2 linked regions of the Lepisosteus oculatus genome follow. The protein of the gene in region 1 interacts with the protein of each later gene in a biochemical or structural test. Links are inferred from orthologs where the notes say so. Each region holds a gene or a part of one and is shown in the gene's direction. Other genes may lie near its edges. The genes, in order: arfip1 and arf3a.

The links.
Region 2: the proteins of arfip1 (region 1) and arf3a form a complex in vitro, tested with the Homo sapiens proteins (2 studies listed by BioGRID). The link is inferred for Lepisosteus oculatus from reciprocal best matches to the Homo sapiens genes ARFIP1 and ARF3.

The regions. Positions count from the first base shown.
Region 1 is NC_090696.1:25,107,293-25,119,301, reverse strand, and holds the start of arfip1 (arfaptin-1), read left to right. Parts: upstream 1-7,490; 5' UTR 7,491-7,509; intron 7,510-7,515; exon of another isoform or gene 7,516-7,588; 5' UTR 7,589-7,668; intron 7,669-12,009. Other genes in the region: tmem154 (transmembrane protein 154), read right to left, coding at 540-633. UniProt on the Homo sapiens protein: Plays a role in controlling biogenesis of secretory granules at the trans-Golgi network. Mechanistically, binds ARF-GTP at the neck of a growing secretory granule precursor and forms a protective scaffold.
Region 2 is NC_090696.1:21,838,152-21,849,245, forward strand, and holds the start of arf3a (ADP-ribosylation factor 3a), read left to right. Parts: upstream 1-6,411; 5' UTR 6,412-6,520; intron 6,521-6,544; exon of another isoform or gene 6,545-6,810; intron 6,811-8,537; exon of another isoform or gene 8,538-8,663; intron 8,664-8,948; 5' UTR 8,949-9,057; coding exon 9,058-9,205; intron 9,206-11,094.

The DNA.
Region 1 (12,009 bases):
AAAAAAAGAAATATAAAGGCATTGCTGCCTTTCAGGCTATGAATTCAATGTACAATATGTGGGGCCATTGTTATCACTGGGCTCCACATATTGTACAAAAAAATTAAATGAACTATAACTGTAGGCATTCTAATTTAGTGAATAAAGTGATGATTTGTAAAGAACTGCTTGTTGGAAATAAAACCAACATAAAAATTAATTCTACACATCTAGAAGGTGAAGAAATCAGTCATATTTAACAGAAAAAACTTTGTGAGGTACAGGAAAGCTGCACTTTTGCCTCATAACCTTTGCCTAATAACCACAAGAATTCAAAACAAACCCAGGTTAAACATCTCGTGGTCTGTCATTTGCTCAGAAGAAATTTCAAACTCTTTAACCAAGCCCAGAGTAAGACCAACAATTCTGTTCAAACAGCCTTTAAAAAACAAAGGAAGATTCCTACCTGGTTATAAATGAAAAGGTTTTTGTAAAAAGAGGAACCATCAGCTCTGCTATACAGGAAAATGTTCATTGAAATGAATTGTTCTAGTACATACCAGTTCCAGCTAGCCCTGCAATTAGCAACAACAGCAGAGGTAAGGCCATTTCCCAGTCTTTTCGTTGCTTTTTGCCTTGATCATAAGAAGACATAATGCCATTGTGCCCTGATTTCTTCACTTGAGATCATGACATTCTGTATTTCCTGTTTCCTGACTGAGTTTTCTTACCTAAGGTTCTGACTAAAACAGGGTAATTTCTGTCGGATGTGATGCAATCAGCTAAGAGCTTGTAGCCACAAGCCTGGTTGCTGTTTTGCTTGCTGAAAAGTAAATTCCTCCACCTAAGGTATGCAGACTTGCCAGAAGCCCTAACTTCCCAGGAAATAGGGAACGGTGAGGTTTTTGCATTTTCTTTACATCGTTTTACCAGGGATTCAATATTATTCACTGTTAGATACCTTGTTAACTGGAAAATTCTTCATAACGCATGCAGTCTGCTCTTAACTGCTGCTTTAACGGGGCATACTTTTGATCTTATCAATAACATGAAGAAACCACCACTGTTCAGTTTTGAAAACAATACAATACAAATGCACTACATTAAAATGGATATTGAAGAATAGCTTTGTATTAGGTAGGTCAATCATTTCAGCAGGAAAGGTAAAGCCTATGATAATAATTTTACGACAGGGCAATCAGATGTAGAAAACCATGTTTGGCTGACAGGCAGAGGAATCCAAACCCTTGATCCCAGTCAAGCCTCGGGGAATGACTAAAGCTGAAGGAGATAGCCGAACCAGATCAGAGTATGAAGGCAGGTAGAGATAGCTGAACAGCAGTGGCACACAGGTTAATCTGAGACCGAGAGCTACTGCAGCTGAAGGGGCTGAGCAGGTCCCGGTGGCTGTGCCGACACTCAGGGCTGTCTGGCAGGAGCTACGGTTCTTTGTCACTGGTCCGGTGCTTGGCTGGCCGACAGACAGAGCGGGTTTGAGACGAACAAATACTCGGGCTGAAGTCGGGCTTGTTGTCCTTCTTGGAAGCAGGCTTGTTGTGCAGCAGGCACTACCCTATCCAGATGGCAGCTCAATGACAGAGCACTGGACTACAGGCAGATCAAGGTTGTCTTGGACTGATGGAATAATCACCCTTTAATTGATGGCGGGTGGTTATGACAAGCAGCCCGAGTGAGACCTCACAGCTCTGGGAGTCTCGTGGGAATGCGGCTGGTTTCCGTGGAGACCGAGGACGATGAGCTGTGGCTTGCCCGGACATAACAAACAACATCTTTCCCTATAATATATTTTAATCGGTTATTAAGTCCTGAGAAAATTGTTTTAATGATACTTTAGCACATGAACTCTCACCTTTTATAAGACTTTTAACTGTTAAATTGGTAGCGTGCCCAGACATTAATATGGAAAAATACAATATCAAGACTGGTTCTTGGGATTTATTTTCCTTTGCTTCATTTTTAATTTTGAGACCTAATATTATGGTACCATTATTTTTTTTTAGAACTTCATTTGCAGTCATATTTATGAGCTCAGGATTAGTCTAGGATAGTCATGTCCTTCATCTTGGAAAATAAGTCTGTTAAACCTAAACCTGGGGAAAAGACAACTGACTGAATTATGATACAATAATGACTCACTGAACACTAATTCTGACTGGTTGCAGGTTAGCCCAGGACATGCTCTTCCTTATTTAGAAATCTATTCTGCTACACTACCTTCATTCTTTTTATTGGTATTTTGACTTTCTTTGTTTTTCAAGTTGCATTGTTGAGCTAGTGAGTGTTGAGTGCTGGTACTGCATTCATTATTCATTATTAAACTGTAGTTAGTTTTATGGATGGATGATCTATTTCACAAGAAATATTGGTTTACTATAGTATTTAGTTTAAAGATGGCTATAATATAATGCAGATTGGTCAGAGGGTGGGGTAAAAAGGGGATCAGAGAGCAGCATCTTTATAATAGAAGCAAAGGACTGAACAGAGTGAACAGAACCTTTGAAGAGATAGTGCACTGTAATTGCTATATCAGACATCTTGCCTTGTCCATGTAAGATGTCTAGGTGTAAGATGAGACTGTGATGGGAATGTTGTTCCCCAGGAGCATACAGGCTCTCCACAGCAAGCAACTAGCCTAAGAGAATCCAGGGTATAGCCATACAATGCATTAACTTATGCTGAGTTTCATCTTGGTTGTTTGTCATAAACCTTATCTAGAAACAAAATCTTTTGAAGATTAAGTTTAGATGTATCAAGCTTTATCCTGGATTTAGGGTTTTCTCAAAACATAAGGGGCAGGTATTAAAACAGGCCTTCACTTGATTAATTATAAAATCTATAATACATAAGAATAATAAATAGTGTTGTAAGGATTCTTCCAGATATAACACACAGAACATTCTGAACCAAAACACGAACTCTTTTCTGAAGTCTGTCTCATTGCCTCCATCTTGTGGCACAAATGTGTTCTACAAGCACTGTCATGTTTCCTCCTATTTCACTGCAGTTGTAGCTGTAGCTGTGACGTGTTCAATAACGGCTATTGCCAGTGTAGAGCTAAAGGTAGAGCAATCCAGGAAATTAAGTTTAAGGAGGAAATAAGTTTAACTAATACTGGTTTTACTTTCATGTGTAATTTTCTTTGGTACCTTAGTTTTTAAGGTCATCAGTGGATTTAAGTGGAAATAATAATAATTGCTTACACTTATACTGTATAGTGCTTTTCTGGACAATCCACTCAAAGTGCTTTATAGGTAATGGGGACTCCCCTCCACCACCACCAATGTGCAGCATCCACCTGGATGATGCAATGGCAGCCATTGTGCGCCAGAACACTCACCACACATCAGCTATCAGTGGGGAGGAGAGCAGAGTAATGAAGCCAATTCAAGATGGGGATTATTAGGAGGCCATGACTGGGCCAATGGGAAATTTGGCCAAGATGCTGGGGTTACACCCCTACTCTTTTCGAGAAACGCCCTGGGATTTTTAATGACCACAGAGAGTCAGTAAGGACGGCGCCTGTTTACAGTATAGTGTCCCTGTCACTATACTGGGGCATTAGGACCCACATGGACCACAGGGTGAGCGCCCCCTGCTGGCCCCACTAACACCTCTTCCAGCAGCAACCTTAATAATAATACCTCAAGCACAAAGTAGCAAATTCACTTCTTGCTGTTACATAAACATTGGTTTAATTAAAGATTATTCTGAGCATTGGCTGACAGGTAGCACACTAATCAACATACCTGTCCTTCTTTGTAAAAGCAGCATCCCATTTCCTGTCTCGACCATGTCCCAATGCATTCGATTCAAGCACTTTGTTCACCATTCTCTTATAGATCATCTGATCGACCAATGCTACAAGGTTTCAAAGAAGCAGACAGCTGAGACTTGAGTGTGAATTTAAAGGGATTTTTTTACATTTACAGCAACTTAAACAAAGAAGACTTTACAAAAGTAAACAAGTCATTATTAGATGACAGTGAGTGAATTTGAAACACAGCAGGTTTTCTGATACAATGCTGAGCTGTAAAAAAAGAAATGACATGTATAATTTAGATCTTGAAATATACTGAGAACACAGCACTGCCTGATCCTGCATGGCTCGCTTAATAATGGTCTGCTTAGCTAAATCTTGCAGCAACTGTTTGGAGACAGGGGTGACACCCATTGGCAGGAATACAGCCCCATCAATGCAGATGGCGTCTAAATGGAGTTAGTTTCTATTAATTATTTAAGGCTATGGAAACAATAATTAGAACTTAACTAGAGGATAATCTGTATGGCAAGTGACATAAGGTTTTCCCATACACCCAGTGGCATGTTTTTTCAAGTTATGTTTAAGTGCTTCATCTAAAATGGAGCGTTCATTTTCATGTATTCTGAAAACTTTCTTATGATGTAAAATAAACTCCACATAGAGCATGCTCAATAATTACCAGTTTTCTTCCTTTTGAAAACAGGAAACAAATTATTTGACAGTATTTGTCAATGGCAGTGAGAACACATACTGTAAAAGTCACTTACATTAGTTGTGCATCTTACTGTACAACTTTGTATAAGTCTTCATATAATCTGTCATTCTGAGTGAAGTTTAATTTATATTCAGTTGCCTTTTATTACACTTGCCTTCCAGCCGACATATCAAGTGTAATCCATTGACAACACTGTAGGGATTACTGGAGATTACTACATGTCCTGTACAACTTTTTGTCAACTGAAATAGGTCAGCTGATTTGTTAATTTTTTTGTCATTTTGACAAATATTAAATATTGGAAACTATTTAAATACTTAAATATTTCAGATGATACGAGACTTCTGAATTCCTCTGCTTTCTTTGATTGTGTACAATGTCAGTTAATGTCATTTTTTAGCAGTTAGATTAAACTATGTAATATGGAGATCCATGTGTTTCAAATAATTCGTTATGTGTTTACCACACACTAGATCATTGTAAAGAAGACTATTTGAAGTAATTTTGCTAAACCTCTTGCAAACTCTCCAAGATGCATTTTCAGGGCAATTAAGCCCTGAAATACTTTATGAATATCTCAAGTGATTTCTGTACACTGCACCAGTTCACATTATTGTAAATCCACCGGACAAAACAAAATAATTAAGCCTAATTTTATTCCTTATTGGATTAGACACGGGCAGGAAATTTAAAACAGTTACATAAAGAAGTAAATTAAAAATGGGATCGGCATTATTGTCATTATTGGTATGCAACTAAAATCCTGCAGATGTTACATCAGGAATGCACGTTCTCTGTTGTTGTCTTTGGCTATTGTTTCCACGCCTGCTGTTTCATTCTGTGGCTTGAATTTGGCCTTTTTTTTAACTAGATGAAAATGTTTGCTCAATCACACTTCTCCAGCTCAGGTGTAACATATCTGCTACCTCCAACGGTGATAAAGTGAACTCCTTGTTTTTCTCCACACACTCAATAAACCGCTTGATCAGCAGCTGGAGCCTGTAGTTTATGGTAAAGCTTTTAATGGTTCCATGCTTCATTGGGTGCTCATTAGCTGTCATAGAAAAAGGGAAAGGCGAGAGCTCAATGAACTGGAGATATGCGGGGTACACAGGGCATTGGCTAACAAAGCTATCTGTTGCTTTTGAGCATTAAATCTTCTATCCAATTTACAAAGACATTTTTCACACTTCTTGGGTCAGGCATCCTGTGCTGGTTGACCTGTAATCCACTGGTAGTGACCCGATGTTTTTAAGGTCTTTATTTGTACCAACTAATAACAAAGGAAGCTTTTCCAACCCATCCATATCGTGGCTAAGGATCTGCGCCAGTGGCTGGAAGGTTTCTGGTTCAAATACTACAATCCTACTCTGTTGGGCCCCTGAGTAAGGCCCTTAACCCCAGCTGCTCCAGCGGTGCTGTACAATGGCTGACCCTGCACTCTGACCCCAGGCTTCTCTCTCCCTATGTGTGTGTATGCAAGAAATTGTATAGGGCTAATAAAGTGATCTTATCTAATGAAAAAAAATTCATATCGACTGCTACCATCAGCATTAAAGGCAGCAGTACTCGAAGTTTAACATCTGATACAGCAACTTTGTCTCACCAACATTAAACACATCTTGCTTGATATTCATTCAAATAATAGGGCAGCACAGTCTGCTACCAAACTGTTGAAGTGCCTGCAGATGATAAAAGACATTCCACAGATTGAGAGTGAAAAGACCATATTGTGACATCAAATAATCTAGCCAGCCAATACTGCACCCTGAAATCATCCTAGGTTCTAACTAAAATCATTTAGTCTGACCCAAAGCATGGGTCCCTTAACTGGTACATACACCATGATTTCTGGAATGATTGACAAGCATTCAAGATCTTTTTTTGTACATGGATGAGTGTTTTGTTTTTTATTTCATAACTGGTACCATCTTGTTTGCTTTATTTTACAAGCTACAGCACTTAAGTTTACTTTCACCTCAATAAAGAGGCTCTTCTCATTCCATGTTGCAGTTATTGGGGACTGACAGTCCTGAACTTCTGCTATAATATGGGGTGAAGTGGTGGCTCTGTGGGTAAGGATCTCCACCTGTGGCTGCGAGGTTGCTGGCTCAGGGGTGCTGTAAAATGGCTGACTCTGTGCTCTGACCTCAGGCTCTCTCCCTATCTGTGTGTCTCATGGAGAGCAAGCTGGAGGTATGCAAAAAGACAAATTCCTAATGCAAGAAATTGTATAGGGCTAATAAAGTGATGTTATGTTATATATTCAGGGATGGACACTGGTTTTATTTGGTTCTGGATTATCAAATTTCAAAAAGTCAAAAATGAGTTGGTTCGTCTCTGTTCCAGTTCCATTTCCTTCACAGAAGATAGTTTCTATATTGTTTAGCTTGAAACAGGCAACAATTGATAGCCGTGTTATTTATATATATATAAAATATACAAAATACATAAAGACCGACCAAACATTAACACTATCTCGATGCTCTTTTGAACTGATCATGGGAGGGTTACTGTGTTCAGAGCTTAAAAAAAAATACTTGTCTCCTGTCTCTTAAGGTGACCCATCTTTTAAAACAACGAATTCAAAGCTGAAACGTCCACTTTAATTTTGCATTTACATTTACATAATAACCCGCAACCGTGCTTTCCTTATCCAACGACAAAGGGGGTATTTAGGAAGACATTTGTCCGGTTGTTTTTACACGCTCCTTCAAGCGTGCAGAAAATAAATTAAATAAAATATTTCCACAATGAACAGAAATACATCGATACTGATAAATAAAATAATTTTCAACGTTGGCTATTTTACAGTTACTTTTGCAATGACGGCAAAAAAAAAACTACAGTACTACGTTCGCGAAAGGAAGTTCTTGTACATACTGTATACGCAACCGCAAAGCGTGCCCGCAGTGCAATTAAGGGATACCCAAGCTGCGCCCCTTCAGCTCGAGAAAGAGCCCGGATGTTGTTGCCCTTTCTTGTTCTTCTCGCCTGGAAACCGTCTCCTTCCGGGTCTCTGCGACTCCACTGTGTGAGTGTGTGCGCGCGGGGGGGGTGATCCAATGGGTGCTGCAAAACGCTGCTAGTGCTAACACTGTAATTTAACACAGCAGGGCAACGGCATCGCCAAGACGAAAACCCGCCGCCACCCCATTTGCAGGAACAGTAGAGCCCCGGAAGACAATAGCAGGTAAGAGTTTCTTTGCTTGTTCTAGTAGGAGGGCGAAACGTTTTTTTGTTGTTGTTGAAGATACGGTTTATTTTCCCTACAGCGGTAAGCTAGTCGCGACCATAGGTGTTGGTGTCGCAGGGGGGTGTGTGGGAAGTGGTGCCAGTGGCGGAGGCACAAAAAGTTGAGAGAGAACGGCTCAGTTTGGTTGCTAGTGTAGACGAAGGAACAAGTGGAGCCCTGTTTTTGTGATCGGCTTCACGAGGGACTTGCAAGTTTGCTTCTGTGGCTGTGGATCAAGTTGCGTGCTGTGGGCGACGTCGAGGATTAGGCTGACGTCTTGTACGATTCCCCAGAGCGGTGGAGTTATTGACAGAGCCGTCTATAAACGTTAGCCTTGCTTGTGTAATTCTGAACAAATCTTCACTTCCCCTTTCTAAAGACGTTACCCTTAAAAATCAAAGTGTAGTGTTACTTGCTTTGTGAAGCCTTAAATGAGTTCGAGTAGAATTTCTCAGGAAGTATTGGATTTCGGTATTAGACCCAGGGCTCAAAGGAAAAAACCATTAGAGTAGCCTGGCATTATTAGAAATCACTTGAAACTAGAGGAGCATACTGTACATATAAACCTAACGTACGTTTTAAAGTTGATGCTGTGTTATGAAGGAGTTGTTGGGAGTTTTAAGAGTTGTAGTTGGCTTGTGTAACTACCGTTTACGTGTCTCTCACATCCAGATGGAGCCGTTGATGCGCTTCCTTCTGCATTCTTAAAGGAGCCGTGTTGCATCAGTACTGTGTAGTAAACTGTAATTCTGATGCCTTAGATTCTTAGTTACAATTTATTTTCTTGTATGACCAACGTCATTTTTATTTGCTCTTCCGATTACAATTGTCAGAGGTATGCTTGGTATCGTCTAACACCTTCGCTTCCTGATTTTCTGTCTTCCTCATTTGTTCATCGTTTGCCTAGTTTTATTTTAACATTTCAGTATCTGGTAGAAGCGTGAACATAAAGACCTAAGTTATTATAGACATGACAGTCACTGTACTGTGTATTTAAAATTAGCCAGTTTTTTCTCATGATGAAGTATCCTATCATCAGTGTTCTCATTCATTGTGCTGATTCCTTTATCACATCATTTACAGATAAAACATTATTTAAAGGAAAACATCAGTACAAGTAAACTATTTAAATCGCACTGTGTATGAGTAACATTGATGTATGCATGTTACATGGATAAACAAATGCAGCATGGAATAACAAGAAGTACAGTGTAAAACAGTATCATGTACTGCATGACCATAGGTGTGCAGTAAAACAATATTACTGTTATAGAGTAAAAACATAGGAAAAGTTACAATTGGCTCATCTTTGGTCGATAGTGTAATATTCCTGAGTCTTCATCATTCCAGTTTCTTGAAATATCTTAATCTGCGTTGACAACATGGTTGGGAAGTTCAAGTCACTGTTAACCCTTTTTTGTGAAAAGCTCCCACCTCTTTGCAGTTCAAATGTACACCCTCTTAGTTTTACTGGTGTCTTCAAGTTCTTAACCTGTCCTGTTTACTTTGCTAGTCAGTACCTTTTAAATATCAAAAGACTTGTATCATGCCAGAACAAGAAGTAATAGTTGTAAAGCTGGAAAAGACTGTAAAATTTAGAATTTCAAGTGAACAGGCGAGGTTTGATGGTGCACCACAAGGTGATTGAGCATTGAGCTTCTATCACGAGTCAGAATTTCAACCACAGTAAGGTAAGGGAGGAGGGAAATACGGAACTCAAGAGCAAACAGGACCAGAGTGTTGGCAGAGATAGGAACAAACGGAGTAAGAGTATGATGGGATATGAGAAGAGACAAGACTATCCAAACCTAGGTTGCTAAAAACAAAATGGACCCTTTTTGAGACGTTACTCCTGGAAGGCCAATAAATATAGTCTTCCATGTAATTGTTCTTTTCACTGTTTCCTCTTTAAATATAAGATAAAGCTAAGAACTGTGGCTGAATTTCCAGCCGGGATGTTTGTATTTCATCAGAAAAAGAACAAATATGATATATGTAGTTCAGGTGGGTAGCTGCGTCAGCATGCAAAGGCTGCAAAGGAACAAGTAATAGGTTTATTCCGTGCTGAAAAGAGAAGAAAGAAAACACAACGATTTGGCCATGGAGCCTTCTTCGGGTGTAAGCCTTCTTCAGCTCACACCTGAAGAAGGCTCCATGGCCGAAATCTTATTTGTGCTGCAAGTAGGACTAACGGTGTTCTCAAATGTTGATTTCAGTTTTAAATGCAGGTGCATTCATAGGAAAATAGGAACAAAACAATCTGGTCAGTTAGTAAACAGTTACCAACAAACTGAAATTTTGTAAAGACAGTGGTCTCCAGCTTAGTCTTAGAAATCTCTGGCAGCATGGTAGCATTGAAGACATAGACCTGTTGAAATTTGATCAGTTAGGCAAGTGATTAAGTAAATTCAGTAATTTAGAGTTCACTCAGAGCAAATAGTTGTCAGCCAGTTCCCTTCATTGAGCAGATGATAAAAAGTCTATAATTGTTTTGTTTGGTTTTGTCATGCCTTGTATGTTGTGTGTTACTTGGGCAGTTTTCCAATTTTCTAGTCAGTGGGTACTCCTGTGTTGAGGTCTAGAAGTGGCATCTTCTTTCCTGATAGTCAGTAGAAGTGTCATTTACTTAACATGTAAATTAAGTCCTCAGAAAATAGACATTTTCCTTTCAAATTTTAAAAGGCTCCTATTGTCTCTTGTGACAGTTTACTTCATCCTTTACTGTTCTTTTGCTGTTGTAGAACAAAACAACTTTTCATTAAAAAAAAAACATTGCAATATTTGTTCTAATCATGCAAAGCTTGCAATTTGTTGTTCTGCATTTCTTCAAATGAAGAACAGATTTCCGTCCATCTGTTTTCGAACAGTTTTTCCAGTTCAGGGTTGTGGGGGCGCTGGAGCCCATCTCAGCAGGCAGCAGACTCAAGGCATCGCACATCCTGGACAGGACGCTAGTCAATCACAGGGCACACAGACACGCACACACTCACATCTGGCGACAGTTTTCTCAGAAGCCACTTAACCTATCAGTATGACTTTGGACTGTAGGTGAAAACTGTAGGTGGAGCACCCAGGGGCAACCAACACAAACTCAGGGAGAGCATACAAACTCCACACAGATAGCACCTCAAGACCAGAATTGAACCCAGAGCCCCAGAGATGCTACCCACTGTGCCACTGTGCTGCCAAGAACAGATTTCTTTCTCCCTAAAGTTTTGTTAATGATATATTAAACAGCTTGGACTACTGCTTTATAGCATTTGATGTAGTTAATTGTGGGCTGAAGATAAGATGAACTTGTATTGTCCCCTAAGGGAAAATTTTATGGACACTTAGCTCTTCTGTACATCTAAATACATCACAAAACATTACACATTACATTTATTACACATCCAGAACCTGTGACAGTGTGGTCGTGACATATTACATGAACATAGTTTATTACAACTTAATTGGCTTATACTGACACAGTTGCAATTACCCTTGCCATTTTTTTTGTATTAATTGCTTTAATAGGTAAGGGAACAAATGAATATTTGTATCTATTTGATCCACAAGATGTTTGCTCTGTGCTTCAAGCAGTATATCTTTAAAGTGCTGCCATCTTTTTTCTACCGATTCCATCTCACCACGTTTTCAAGGTACACAATTTGTCCTATTATGATCATAGTTGCTTGATTATTTTCTGACCTCTGTTTTCTTGACCCTATTTTATTTATTTGAAAAGACTAAATATTCATATTGATTTAATCTTATAGTTTTTTTTAAACCTAATGATTTTGATATCTTGTTAAAATGAAATGGAGCTTTGTTTTGTTGAGCATAGCATTGTGGTGTAACCAGACTTTATTTTTATCCAAGCATATCTTACACGGATTAGTGCCCAGAGTAGTGGAGAACAGTTGTGAGTATTCTACAGCCAGGGTGCTACGCTCTCCTGTTCTGATCAGCTGTTATGCATGTGGTTGGATATGAGAATCCATAGTCAGCTTTTTTCCCCAAGGGAAAGATTGCCAGTGTAGTGTGAAACACTGGCCTTGGGGCCCATCATTAGGATGTAAACGTTGATAACATTTGTGTTTGTTATCAGCGGCATCATCATTTCATTATTTTCAGTAGTTAACCTTTCTTAGTAGTAATATTTTACAGGTGTTGTCAGTAGAGCCTTTTACTGAATTATTTTATTTATCTTCTACTTCAGTGGGCACTTTTTTAGTATTCATTCTGTATTTCTCTATTAGTTCTGTACCTGCTGTGCATTTCCTACTGACTGATGACTAGGCTGATGTTCTGTTTCAT
Region 2 (11,094 bases), about 3.3 Mb from region 1:
AGACAGACGGCGAGGCGCTCTGGCGCGCTCCGGACTCGTGTGACACGCAGGGCGTCGCGATCCGCCAGCTCCTGGCAGAAAGAACGGAGAAGTGGGAGAAAAAAAAAATTGCACAAACACAAAACATGAAACAACATCTGTACAAACAAACAGCTGGAAACATCTGCTCACAGCCACCTCCCTGCCTTCTCCACCCCCCCCCCCTCCCTCCCCACAATTTTCTGTCCCTCTCCCCATCTCCCCAGTGATGTGGGAGAGAGGGAGATTGCTAGCAGCTAGCTACCCAGAACATCAAAGCTCTCTTCCCAACATGGAAGCCCTCATTAGTTCTGCAGCTTGAAACCACAGGCTCGTGTTTCTGCATCACTGGGGCGCAGCTTGGCAGTGACTTCAGAGCAGGGCTTCTTTCAATTAGAAACCACCCCAGCACCCCCCTCCTTCCTCCCCCAAGGCCCAAACACGGCGCTCTCTTGCTCCCGGTCAGCCCTCTGGCCCCAGCTCTGCTCCGCACCTTCCCAGAGGCCCACGTCTGCCCCCCACACCCTGCCTCAGCTCCCACACACACAGCCCTGCATGGGCACAGAGCAGGGGCAGGAGAGCGATGGAGGATACAGAGCAGGGGCAGGAGAGCGATGGAGGGCAAAGAGCAGGGGCAGGAGATCGATGGAGGATACAGAGGAGGGGCAGGAGAGCGATGGAGGGCAAAGAGCAGGGGCAGGAGCGATGGAGGGCACACAGAGAGCAGGGGCAGGAGAGCGATAGAGGGCACAGAGAGCAGGGGCAGGAGCGATGGAGGGCACAGAGAGCAGGGGCATGAGAGCAATGGAGGGCACAGAGAGCAGGGGCAGGAGAGCAATGGAGGGCACAGAGAGCAGGGGCAGGAGAGCGATAGAGGGCACAGAGAGCAGGGGCAGGAGAGCGATGGAGGGCACAGAGAGCAGGGGTAGGAGAGATGGAGGGCACAGAGAGCAGGGGCAGGAGAGCGATGGAGGGCACAGAGAGCAGGGGCAGGAGAGCGATGGAGGGCACAGAGAGCAGGGGCAGGAGAGCGATGGAGGGCACAGAGAGCAGGGGCAGGAGAGCAATGGAGGGCACAGAGAGCAGGGGCAGGAAAGCGATGGAGGGCACAGAGAGAGCAGGGGCAGGAGAGCGATGGAGGGCACAGAGAGCAGGGGCAGGAGTGATGGAGGGCACAGAGAGCAGGGGCAGGAGAGCGATGGAGGGCACAGAGAGCAGGGGCAGGAGAGCAATGGAGGGCACAGAGAGCAGGGGCAGGAAAGCGATGGAGGGCACAGAGAGCAGGGGCAGGAGAGCGATGGAGGGCACAGAGAGCAGGGGCAGGAGTGATGGAGGGCACAGAGAGCAGGGGCAGGAGAGCGATGGAGGGCACAGAGAGCAGGGGCAGGAGCGATGGAGGGCACAGAGAGCAGGGGCAGGAGAGCAATGGAGGGCACAGAGAGCAGGGGCAGGAAAGCGATGGAGGGCACAGAGAGAGCAGGGGCAGGAGAGCGATGGAGGGCACAGAGAGCAGGGACAGGAGAGCGATGGAGGGCACAGAGAGCAGGGGCAGGAGAGCGATGGAGGGCACAGAGAGCAGGGGCAGGAAAGCGATGGAGGGCACAGAGAGAGCAGGGACAGGAGAGCGATGGAGGGCACAGAGCGCAGGGGCAGGAGAGCAATGGATGATTCAGGGTGCAGAGAGAGAAAGAGGACAATGAGTGAGGGAGCGATGGAGGCTGAGAGACAGAGGCTGTCCAGGAGTCACAGAGGGAGAGAGAGGGACTCAGCAGTCTGTTGTTCCTGAAGCAGCTCCCGCTGCAGCCGGCCCAGTAAATGAGTTCCAGACCGTGTTTTAAGTGGCTTTCCGCAGGAAGACGTCCCATTTGGAGATCTGTCACTGCACCGCTGTCATCCGGGGCTGCTGCCCTGTGATGTGGGCTGGCTGGGACGGTGGAGGGGCGGGTGGGGGTGGCAGCTGGATGGAATGGGACTCCTGTCAGGCCGGATGAAGGGAATGTGACTCCCGGGCGGAGGGAGAGAGAGAGAGAGAACCTGCATGGCCGGTGAGTCACGCAGAGAGAGAAGCCCAGGGACGAGAGGGAGGCCAAGGCCTGCAGATGGAGCCACTTAGTCTCGAAAGCGGACGAGCAGCTGGGGAATGTGGGGGGGCGGCTCATCTGAGCTCCTGTAGGGGCTGATTCACCACGAACGCAGTCCTGGAGTCCGGAGAGCTCAGCAGAAATAGAGAGCTCACACACAGCAAGGTCTCACGGCCTCGTGCTCGGGTTTGTGTGAGGAATAGGGTTAGGCTGAGGGCTGGACGCCTAAATTACTTTTGTTTCCAAAGGATGTCAAAGCTCTTCACACACAGGAGGGGACCCAGCTCCTCCCCAGTGAAGAGCAGCCCCTCCTGGGAGACACACTGCAGCCCCACTGCACAGCAGCTCAGGGCAGGAGAGAGACACTGCTGCTCCAGGGGGTGAAGGGAGGTCACTGGTGTTAACACACCTGCTCTGACAGTGTCATTGGATCTTTAATAATCCAAATAGACCTTTGTTTAATGTCTCATCTGAAGGAAGGTACTTCTTACAGCACAGTGTCCCTGGCCGTCACACTGGGGTATTGATTTAGAAATTCTGGTTTTGGTGAAACAGTGCCCCCTTCTGGTTCACCAACAGCTTCCATAGCATTAGCCATCTGGTTTCCTCAGTCTCTCCTGCCAGTACTGACCTCGCTTCGCTTCTGAGATCTGGCCAGACTGAAAGGTGAGAAGCCAGCTTATGTGTACAGTAAACTCACCGCAACATACAGTCAGACAATATCGAAGAGGGTGGAATGGACTCAGTTTCCAGAGAGAGGGACAAGAAAGGGGAAGTCTTGAGACAGTAAAGGAACAATAAGGAGGATCTTGTTTCTTAAGTTCCAGCTCCACTGTGAAGACATTTTTTTATAAATCCTGTGTCTTGAAAATTATTAAATTACCAAAATAATTATTCACAGGTTGTGCTGGGTCTGATCTGCAGCAGTTTGTTTAAATCCTAACAAACATGAGAGAGAGGGTATACTGTATGCAGCTCACCTGGTTGAGGAAATACAGCACCTTGCAAAAGTATTCACCCCCCCTTGGACTTTTTCACAGTTTATTGTGTTACAGCATGGAACTATGACCTATTTAACTGGATTTCTTTTTTCACTTTGACATTATAGAGTACTTTGTGTTGATGAGTGGCAAAATGTATCAGTTAAATACATCACGGTTCCATGCTGTAACTCAATAAAATGTAAAAAAGTCCAAGGGGGGTGAATACTTTTGCAAGGCCCTATAAGCAGTCTCATCAGAAGGACCGGGCTGCTCAGACCCCTCTCAGATCACGAGGATTGAGCCAGGGAGCTGCTGCAGGGGTGGTGGGAGGAGTACGAGAGAGATGCACTATGGGAGTGCCCCTAGGTACGAGACTAATGTACACAGGCGAGCGGAAGTGTGCGAGATGAGGGTCCAGCCTTCGTCTCAAAGTTTTCTTATAACTTTGCTATAATTCAATGTGTGACAATGGTATGTTTTTGTTGAATTGTAATTTGCAATTGCAATCCACCCATTTTCCAACCCCTTCTTCCAATACAGGGTTGCAGGAGTCTGTCCCAGCAAGCCATAGGTGCAAGGCAGGGTACATCCTGGGCAGGACGCCAGTCCGTTGTAGGGCAGACAGACACAAACACACACTTGCACCACCCAGTTTTCCCAGAAGCCAATTAACCCACCAGCATGTCTTTGGACTGTGGGCAGAAAGCGGAGCACCTGGAGGAAACCCACACAAACATGGGGAGAGCATGCAAACTCCACACAGACAGCACCCCAGGAACTGAACCCAGGACCCCACAACTGCAAGGTAGCAATGCTGACCACTGCGCCACTCGCAATGTTATAATTTCATAGAACTGCCATTTTCAATACAACCTAAAGTTTTCAAACAATTTTTGATTCTCAAAAACAATTTATAGTACTGTCTTGAGGCAAAATAGGGTTTATGACCTCTATCCTGCCACAGTGACAGACAGTGAACTGGGAATAATCAGCATGCAGCAGACAGAACACTGTCACTTTGTTCTGTATAGCACAGCATTATATTAGAGACAGGCCAATAACTGCAAGGTGTCAGAGTACAAAAGATCCGCTTACCAACACAGAGAACAATATTTTAATTAAACTCACCAGGGCAATAAAATCAATCAATTGCACTGAAATGGCAATACAAGTCTTTTATTTTATACATACATTGTCTTGACCCCCAAGAAATTAACCGAAAAGTTTCTAGAGAGAACTGGGGCATTTCTAAGGAAATACAAAATAGGCCATCGCTAGGTTATTTTTGTCATGGGATTCTGGTACTAGTACTAAGAGAATTAATCTTGCATGCTAGTTTTTATAATAAGGCATATTTATAATTTACAAGCACTTCAGCAACATATGTTCAAAACAGATAGGGATAGCTCTCGAGAGCAACTCATCTCTGTAGAAAGATAAGCAGGAAAGAGGTTGAGGACCTGGTAGTATGGTGCCAGGACAACAACCTCTCCCTCAACATCACCAAAACTCAGGAGCTGGTTGTTGACTTCAGGAAGCAGGGAGGAGGCCGCGCCCCTGTCTGCATCCATGGGGCCGCTGTGGAGATGGTCAGGAGCTTCAGGTTCACATCACCAACAGCCTGACCTGGTCCCATCTCACGGGCGGAGAGTCATAAACCAGCGCCTCAGGAGAATCAGGAGATTCGGCATGTCTTCACGTACACTCGGGAATGTCTACGGATGCATTATAGAATGCATTCTCACTGGATGCATTGCAGTCTGGTATGGCAGTTGCCCAGCTCATGAATGGAAATGGCCATCACTGGTGCAGAACCCCCTTCCATCCAGACCAGCCTCACCACACACTGCCCCAGAACAGCGAATAATACAATCAGGGATCATACTGCCCTGGGAATGCACGTTTCTCTCTTCTTCCTCCTGGCAGAAGATATAGGAGTATAAAAGCTTGGACCTCTAGGTTCAAAGAAAGCTTCGCCCGCACAACTGTAGGACTCCTGGACTCCACCTCTAAAATCCTCCACCCACCCACTTAGACCCAGACCCCAGAGGACTACAGAGTTGTCTAAGACTGCAAAACCCGTTTACAATACAACACTATGGAATCTCTTGAAAAAGAAGTAAACTGCTGCACAGACGAGTAAGCAGAAGACTCCTCTTTTGAAGAAGACGGCAGCAGCTGATGACAGAAAACCTCACCCTGCCGCCACACAAGAGGTCAAAGCTTACTGCACGCTTAACCAGGGAGTCGATCAGGAAGAAGGGGGAAATTCGGAACTGGTCAAGTCAGTCTCCTGATCCGAATGCTATTGAGCACACATTTTAGTAGTTGAAAAAGGAAACTAAAGTCAGAAAACCCCACAAAAAGCAAGAACTGTAAGAAGATGCAGTTAAGGCTGGGCTCAGCATCTCAGCGGAACATATGAACATTCGGGTGGTGCTGTTGGACCGCAGGCTTGAAGCAGCCATTGTATGTAAGGAGTATGCATCCAAATACTCTTTACACTGGGCGAATATGCTTGAAGGCAATTTGTCCAGGTACTCACCTGAAATAGGGGATTAAACACAACAAACGACTGCATTCTAACATGGCTAAACAGGTGTGCAAAATAATGCCCAGAAATAAAAGCTGAAATTCTATACGTTTTCCTCATATTAACATTTGAGCTGAAATACAAATTTGTATCAGCGCACAGCAAAAATGTTCAATTATCTTCACTGTTCCAGATACTTCGGTTTTTGACTGTAGATGATATACTATTCACCACATCATTATCACGGCAACAAATAATAAATATGTTCGAACATTTTTTGATTATTCTCTAAACCCTGATAGCTGTAGCACGGTGAGCTACAGAGCAATGTGTTGAGCTACGCTAAAAAGCAATCACAGCGCACCGAACACCACTGTGCTGACAGCCGGGGGCGGCCGGTAGAAGCCGTATTGCTGAACAGCCCAGAGGGGCATCACGTGACAGGAAAAAGCGCTGTCAGGCGATTGAGCTGTTTTCTGTGTTCGCCCTTACCCGGAGTTTTTTATATTAATAATTAACTCGTGGCCATGTGGCCCATAGTTGGGAGCGGTTTTTACATTTTTAAACGGGTTTTCTTGTGTTAGCTCCAGGGAAAAAAGGGGATTTATTTTCTAGGCCATATGGGTACTAGAGGAACAGACAGCGATAACAAGGCAGGGAATTTTGTTCCTAAGATGAAAACCACAAACAAAAACAGACACACACAGAGCGCACTGATGTATACGTGCCTTAAAGAACCGAAATGAGAGCTTTTATTCTCATAAATATTATTAAGACGGTCGTCGTCCGTGCTGCTAGTCTCGCGAGATCTCGGCATGCCTCCTCCCTCTCCCAATCGACAGGGCTGTCCAAGTCTCGCGAGAGTGCGTCTCCCTGCCTGATTTCGGCTGCTGTCACCGTCGGAGGTAAGTGCGGCTCTGCGCAAAGGGATTGAATTAAACAAAGCGAAAAATATGCCCATATTGTCAAAAGCGAGGGACAGAAAATAACAGACCGCACCCTCAGACTACCAACTTTTTTGCGTCGGCGTCCGAAAACCGAGACGGTTGTCGTGACACGGAAAAGAGCGAAGGGTTTTCACTGATCCTGTGTCGTGACTGGCGAGAGAGGAGCAGGGGAGCGGAGGGAGTTCAAGAAAATAACAATAAAAAAAAACGAACGCGGTCGGGAGAATATTTGCTTCTCATAATATCAGGTATACCAGGGTCCAGATTTTTTTTTGCACGCGTATTAGAAATATGTTGTGCATTTGCCTGCGACATACGCGGTAGGTGTGAAAACCATTCATTTATCCCCCGGTAAGACAATAACGCAGCCGGAGCTCACGGAGACGCGACAAAGGCGCACAGCTGCCAGCCCGTGGCCGTGCACACGCGTGTTCACTGCACGGCGGGGACCCGGAGCCCGGGAGCCGCTCCACCTGCGCGGTACGGCGCACCCGCCTCACGGTGCCGCTTCGGGCACGGCAGCGGAGAACAGAGGCGAACGGCGGCGTCCGTCTCCATGGCGGGAGGTTCTGACGAGCAGGGGGGTCGTGTGTAGCCTGAAGTGACAGGGGCTTTCGGAGCCTGTGCTTGGCGCACCTCACTTTCCCAGCGGGGGAGTCGGGAGCCGGGGACAGGTTTAGGCGATCCGCGGCCCGGAAGTGTTGAGTAATCCCGCAGTCTGGAGAGGTGTGAAGCTGCGCTAATGGAGACGGACGGCGCCTCGGCGTCCTGCCCGCCCGCTTCATGAAATCTTCGCAGCCTTGTTTCGGCTGGACCCGCATCCGGCGCAGGGCCTGACGCAGATGCTCGCACATAAGGGTGATGGGTGTCGGTTGTGGCGTGAGAGAAAACAACGGGACGGTGCTCCCTTTCTAGTGGGTGTGAGGCAGGAGCAGTCAGTACCCAGTTGAAAATGCCTTCACTCTCCCTTGTATGGTGGAAGGTGTGAAGACTGGGGTGGTGTGTCTGGAGCGCAGAGTGGCCCAGTCGAGCCCCGGTGTGAGAGGGCGGGGTGTGGGCCTGCGAGACCTCTGATGGGTGAGCCATCGCGGCTCGGGGGGCCGCGGGGCAGGAAGTACACTTCCTGCCGAAGAGCACTTGGGGCCGTTTCTGGTTTTACAGAAGCACGGGGCTGAGGGTAGGGGCCGTGGGTAGTGCATGCCACAGTGGGGGCTCCATTCCCGCTGGAACTGGTACGGGGTGCCTTTAAAGAAAAGGTGACCCAACTCTGTTGCATGCTGGGACGCCGAGCCTACCTGTGCCGTGACAGGCAGGGCCGTTCAGACCCCGTGAAGAACCTGAAGTGGACAACACTGCTGTGGAACAGGGGCCTCATGTCCAGCTCCGGCTCCGTTATTGATGTTTGACTCCAGGCAGAAAACGCAACGGCCGTTTGTAAGAGCTGTCCAGTTCCGGGGAGCAGGCTGGACATCGCAGGGTGGTCCATTTGTCTGCGCTAGTATTTTTCTTTGTGCTCGTATGTCAGCCACTGCCCTGCTAGGTTAGGCACGTGCAGTAAGACTGCGAATTGGTTCCTGTGCCGGTCCAGCACAGCCAGCTGGACCCCTGTGGGGCCAAGCAGCGCCAGTCAGCCAGCAGGAAGTCCCCAGCGAGCTGCACTGTAGCCCTCACTCGTTCCTGCTGCAGGGTCAGGCATTGCGTCTTCAAGGGGAGTCCAGACAGGCCCCCTGCAGCCATGCCCCCCCCGGAGGAGCCCGGCGCTGGGACTCTGTCCTCTCCGAGAGGGACTCTTCTAGAGCCACGTCTCCCCTAGAGCTCTGCGGTGCTGAGTGTGTCTCCTGCACCTCGGGGTCCAGTGTCCGGGATCCAGGTCGCTCCCCGACAGCGGGACGATCCCCTCTGTTCTCCCTGGGGGGGCGGTGGGGGCTCCCCTGAGGTCCAAGAGGTGTTCCGGGAGAGGCTTGGGAATCTTCCTTCCGGGCTCCGGACCCGGCCCTCGTGGTGGCAGAAGCCGAGAGGGCACACGGGGGCACCGTGTTGAGCAAACGAGATGCCTCCCTCCCCCAGCAGTGACTGACCCTAAATAAGGCCCTCTAATACGGTAGATGGCAAGAGCTCTCGGTTCTCTTCAGGGCCTGGTGCTACACTGAAAGTTTGATCCACTCACAAGTTGCAAAATACAGTCATAGTGCCCGGCGATCAGTGTCTGTTTGACAGAGACTGATTGGTTCTGTGTTGCCGGATCCTGTTACTAAGTGCCACATGTCATTTCTGAATCCCTGCAGAGATCTATGCCCAGACTTGACGTGTCATTATACACACAGCAGACGAGTGAGATTCAGCGATAGTGCTCTTTCTAACTGGCCTGGTTCTGTCTCCCCCAAAGTCTGCGATCCCACTGGACGAGCCAGGCGCCGCTGTGAACCAGTCACTCATCCAGGAGCTGCCAGTGCCCACTGCTACCAGCACCGCCTGCTGAGGGAAGGACAGCCGCCATGGGGAATATTTTCGGGAACCTGCTGAAGAGCCTGATTGGGAAGAAGGAGATGCGAATCCTGATGGTGGGGCTGGACGCGGCCGGCAAGACGACCATCCTGTACAAGCTGAAGCTCGGCGAGATCGTCACCACCATCCCCACCATTGGTACAGCACGCTGTTCTCACCCACTTCCAGCCTGCCTGGGTGTAAACCACAGTCCCTCTCGTCAGATTGTTATCCGGGTTGGCTTCCTCTGTAGACCTCAGCATGTGGTTATGTGTTTTTCAGGCTTTGTTCAGTCCTAGAAGCTCGCTTCAGCCTTATTATTCTGCTTGTATTTGCTTCTGGCGTAATACAAAAGGTGGATTGTGGGTGACCGGCAGGGCTGGCAGTGTGGAGCTGTTCACCCATTGTAGCACCGGTTGCGCCCACCTCTGTGCAGATAAATGAGCTGTGATCCAGCAAGGTTAGAGCTGGGAGCTGTCACTGCGTGGGCTGAAGGGAATAAGTAGAGGTTCCAAGGTTTCTTTTTACTGTGCAGCGAGGAATTGACTTCGGCTTGTCACCTGAAGGGAGCAGAGTCTGTGCATGGTGTTTGCAGTGTGGTGACAATTTACAGTGCTCAGTGTCAGTGCTGACGCATCGGTGGTGCCCGGTGTCGGGGGAGAGGGCTGGCGTGTCGGGGGAGAGGGCTGGCGTGTCGGGGGAGAGGGCTGGCGTGTCGGTGGTGGCGTGTCGGGGGAGAGGGCTGGCGTGTCGGTGGTGCCCGGTGTCGGGGGAGAGGGCTGGCGTGTCGGTGGTGGCGTGTCGGTGGTGGCGTGTCGGGGGAGAGGGCTGGCGTGTCGGTGGTGCCTGGTGTCGGGGGAGAGGGCTGGCGTGTCGGTGGTGGTGTGTCGGGGGAGAGGGCTGGCGTGTCGGTGGTGGTGTGTCGGGGGAGAGGGCTGGCGTGTCGGTGGTGTCGTGTCGGGGGAGAGGGCTGGCGTGTCGGTGGTGGCGTGTCGGGGGAGAGGGCTGGCGTGTCGGTGGTGGCGTGTCGGGGGAGAGGGCTGGCGTGTCGGTGGTGCCCGGTGTCGGGGGAGAGGGCTGGCGTGTCGGTGGTGTCGTGTCGGGGGAGAGGGCTGGCGTGTCGGTGGTGTCGTGTCAGGGGAGAGGGCTGGCGTGTCGGTGGTGGCGTGTCGGGGGAGAGGGCTGGCGTGTCGGTGGTGGCGTGTCGGGGGAGAGGGCTGGCGTGTCGGTGGTGCCCGGTGTCGGGGGAGAGGGCTGGCGTGTCGGTGGTGCCCGGTGTCGGGGGAGAGGGCTGGCGTGTCGGTGGTGGCGTGTCGGTGGTGCCCGGTGTCGGGGGAGAGGGCTGGCGTGTCGGTGGTGGCGTGTCGGGGGAGAGGGCTGGCGTGTCGGTGGTGGCGTGTTGGGGGAGAGGGCTGGCGTGTCGGTGGTGCCCGGTGTCGGGGGAGAGGGCTGGCGTGTCGGTGGTGGCGTGTCGGGGGAGAGGGCTGGCGTGTCGGTGGTGCCCGGTGTCGGGGGAGAGGGCTGGCGTGTCGGTGGTGGCGTGTCGGTGGTGTCGTGTCGGGGGAGAGGGCTGGCGTGTCGGTGGTGTCGTGTCGGGGGAGAGGGCTGGCGTGTCGGTGGTGGCGTGTCGGGGGAGAGGGCTGGCGTGTCGGTGGTGGCGTGTCGGGGGAGAGGGCTGGCGTGTCGGTGGTGCCCGGTGTCGGGGGAGAGGGCTGGCGTGTCGGTGGTGGCGTGTCGGTGGTGTCGTGTCGGGGGAGAGGGCTGGCGTGTCGGTGGTGTCGTGTCGGGGGAGAGGGCTGGCGTGTCGGTGGTGGCGTGTCGGGGGAGAGGGCTGGCGTGTCGGTGGTGCCCGGTGTCGGGGGAGATGGCTGGCGTGTCGGTGGTGGCGTGTCGGGGGAGAGGGCTGGCGTGTCGGTGGTGTCGTGTCGGGGGAGAGGGCTGGCGTGTCGGTGGTGTCGTGTCGGGGGAGAGGGCTGGCGTGTCGGTGGTGGCGTGTCGGGGGAGAGGGCTGGCGTGTCGGTGGTGTCGTGTCGGGGGAGAGGGCTGGC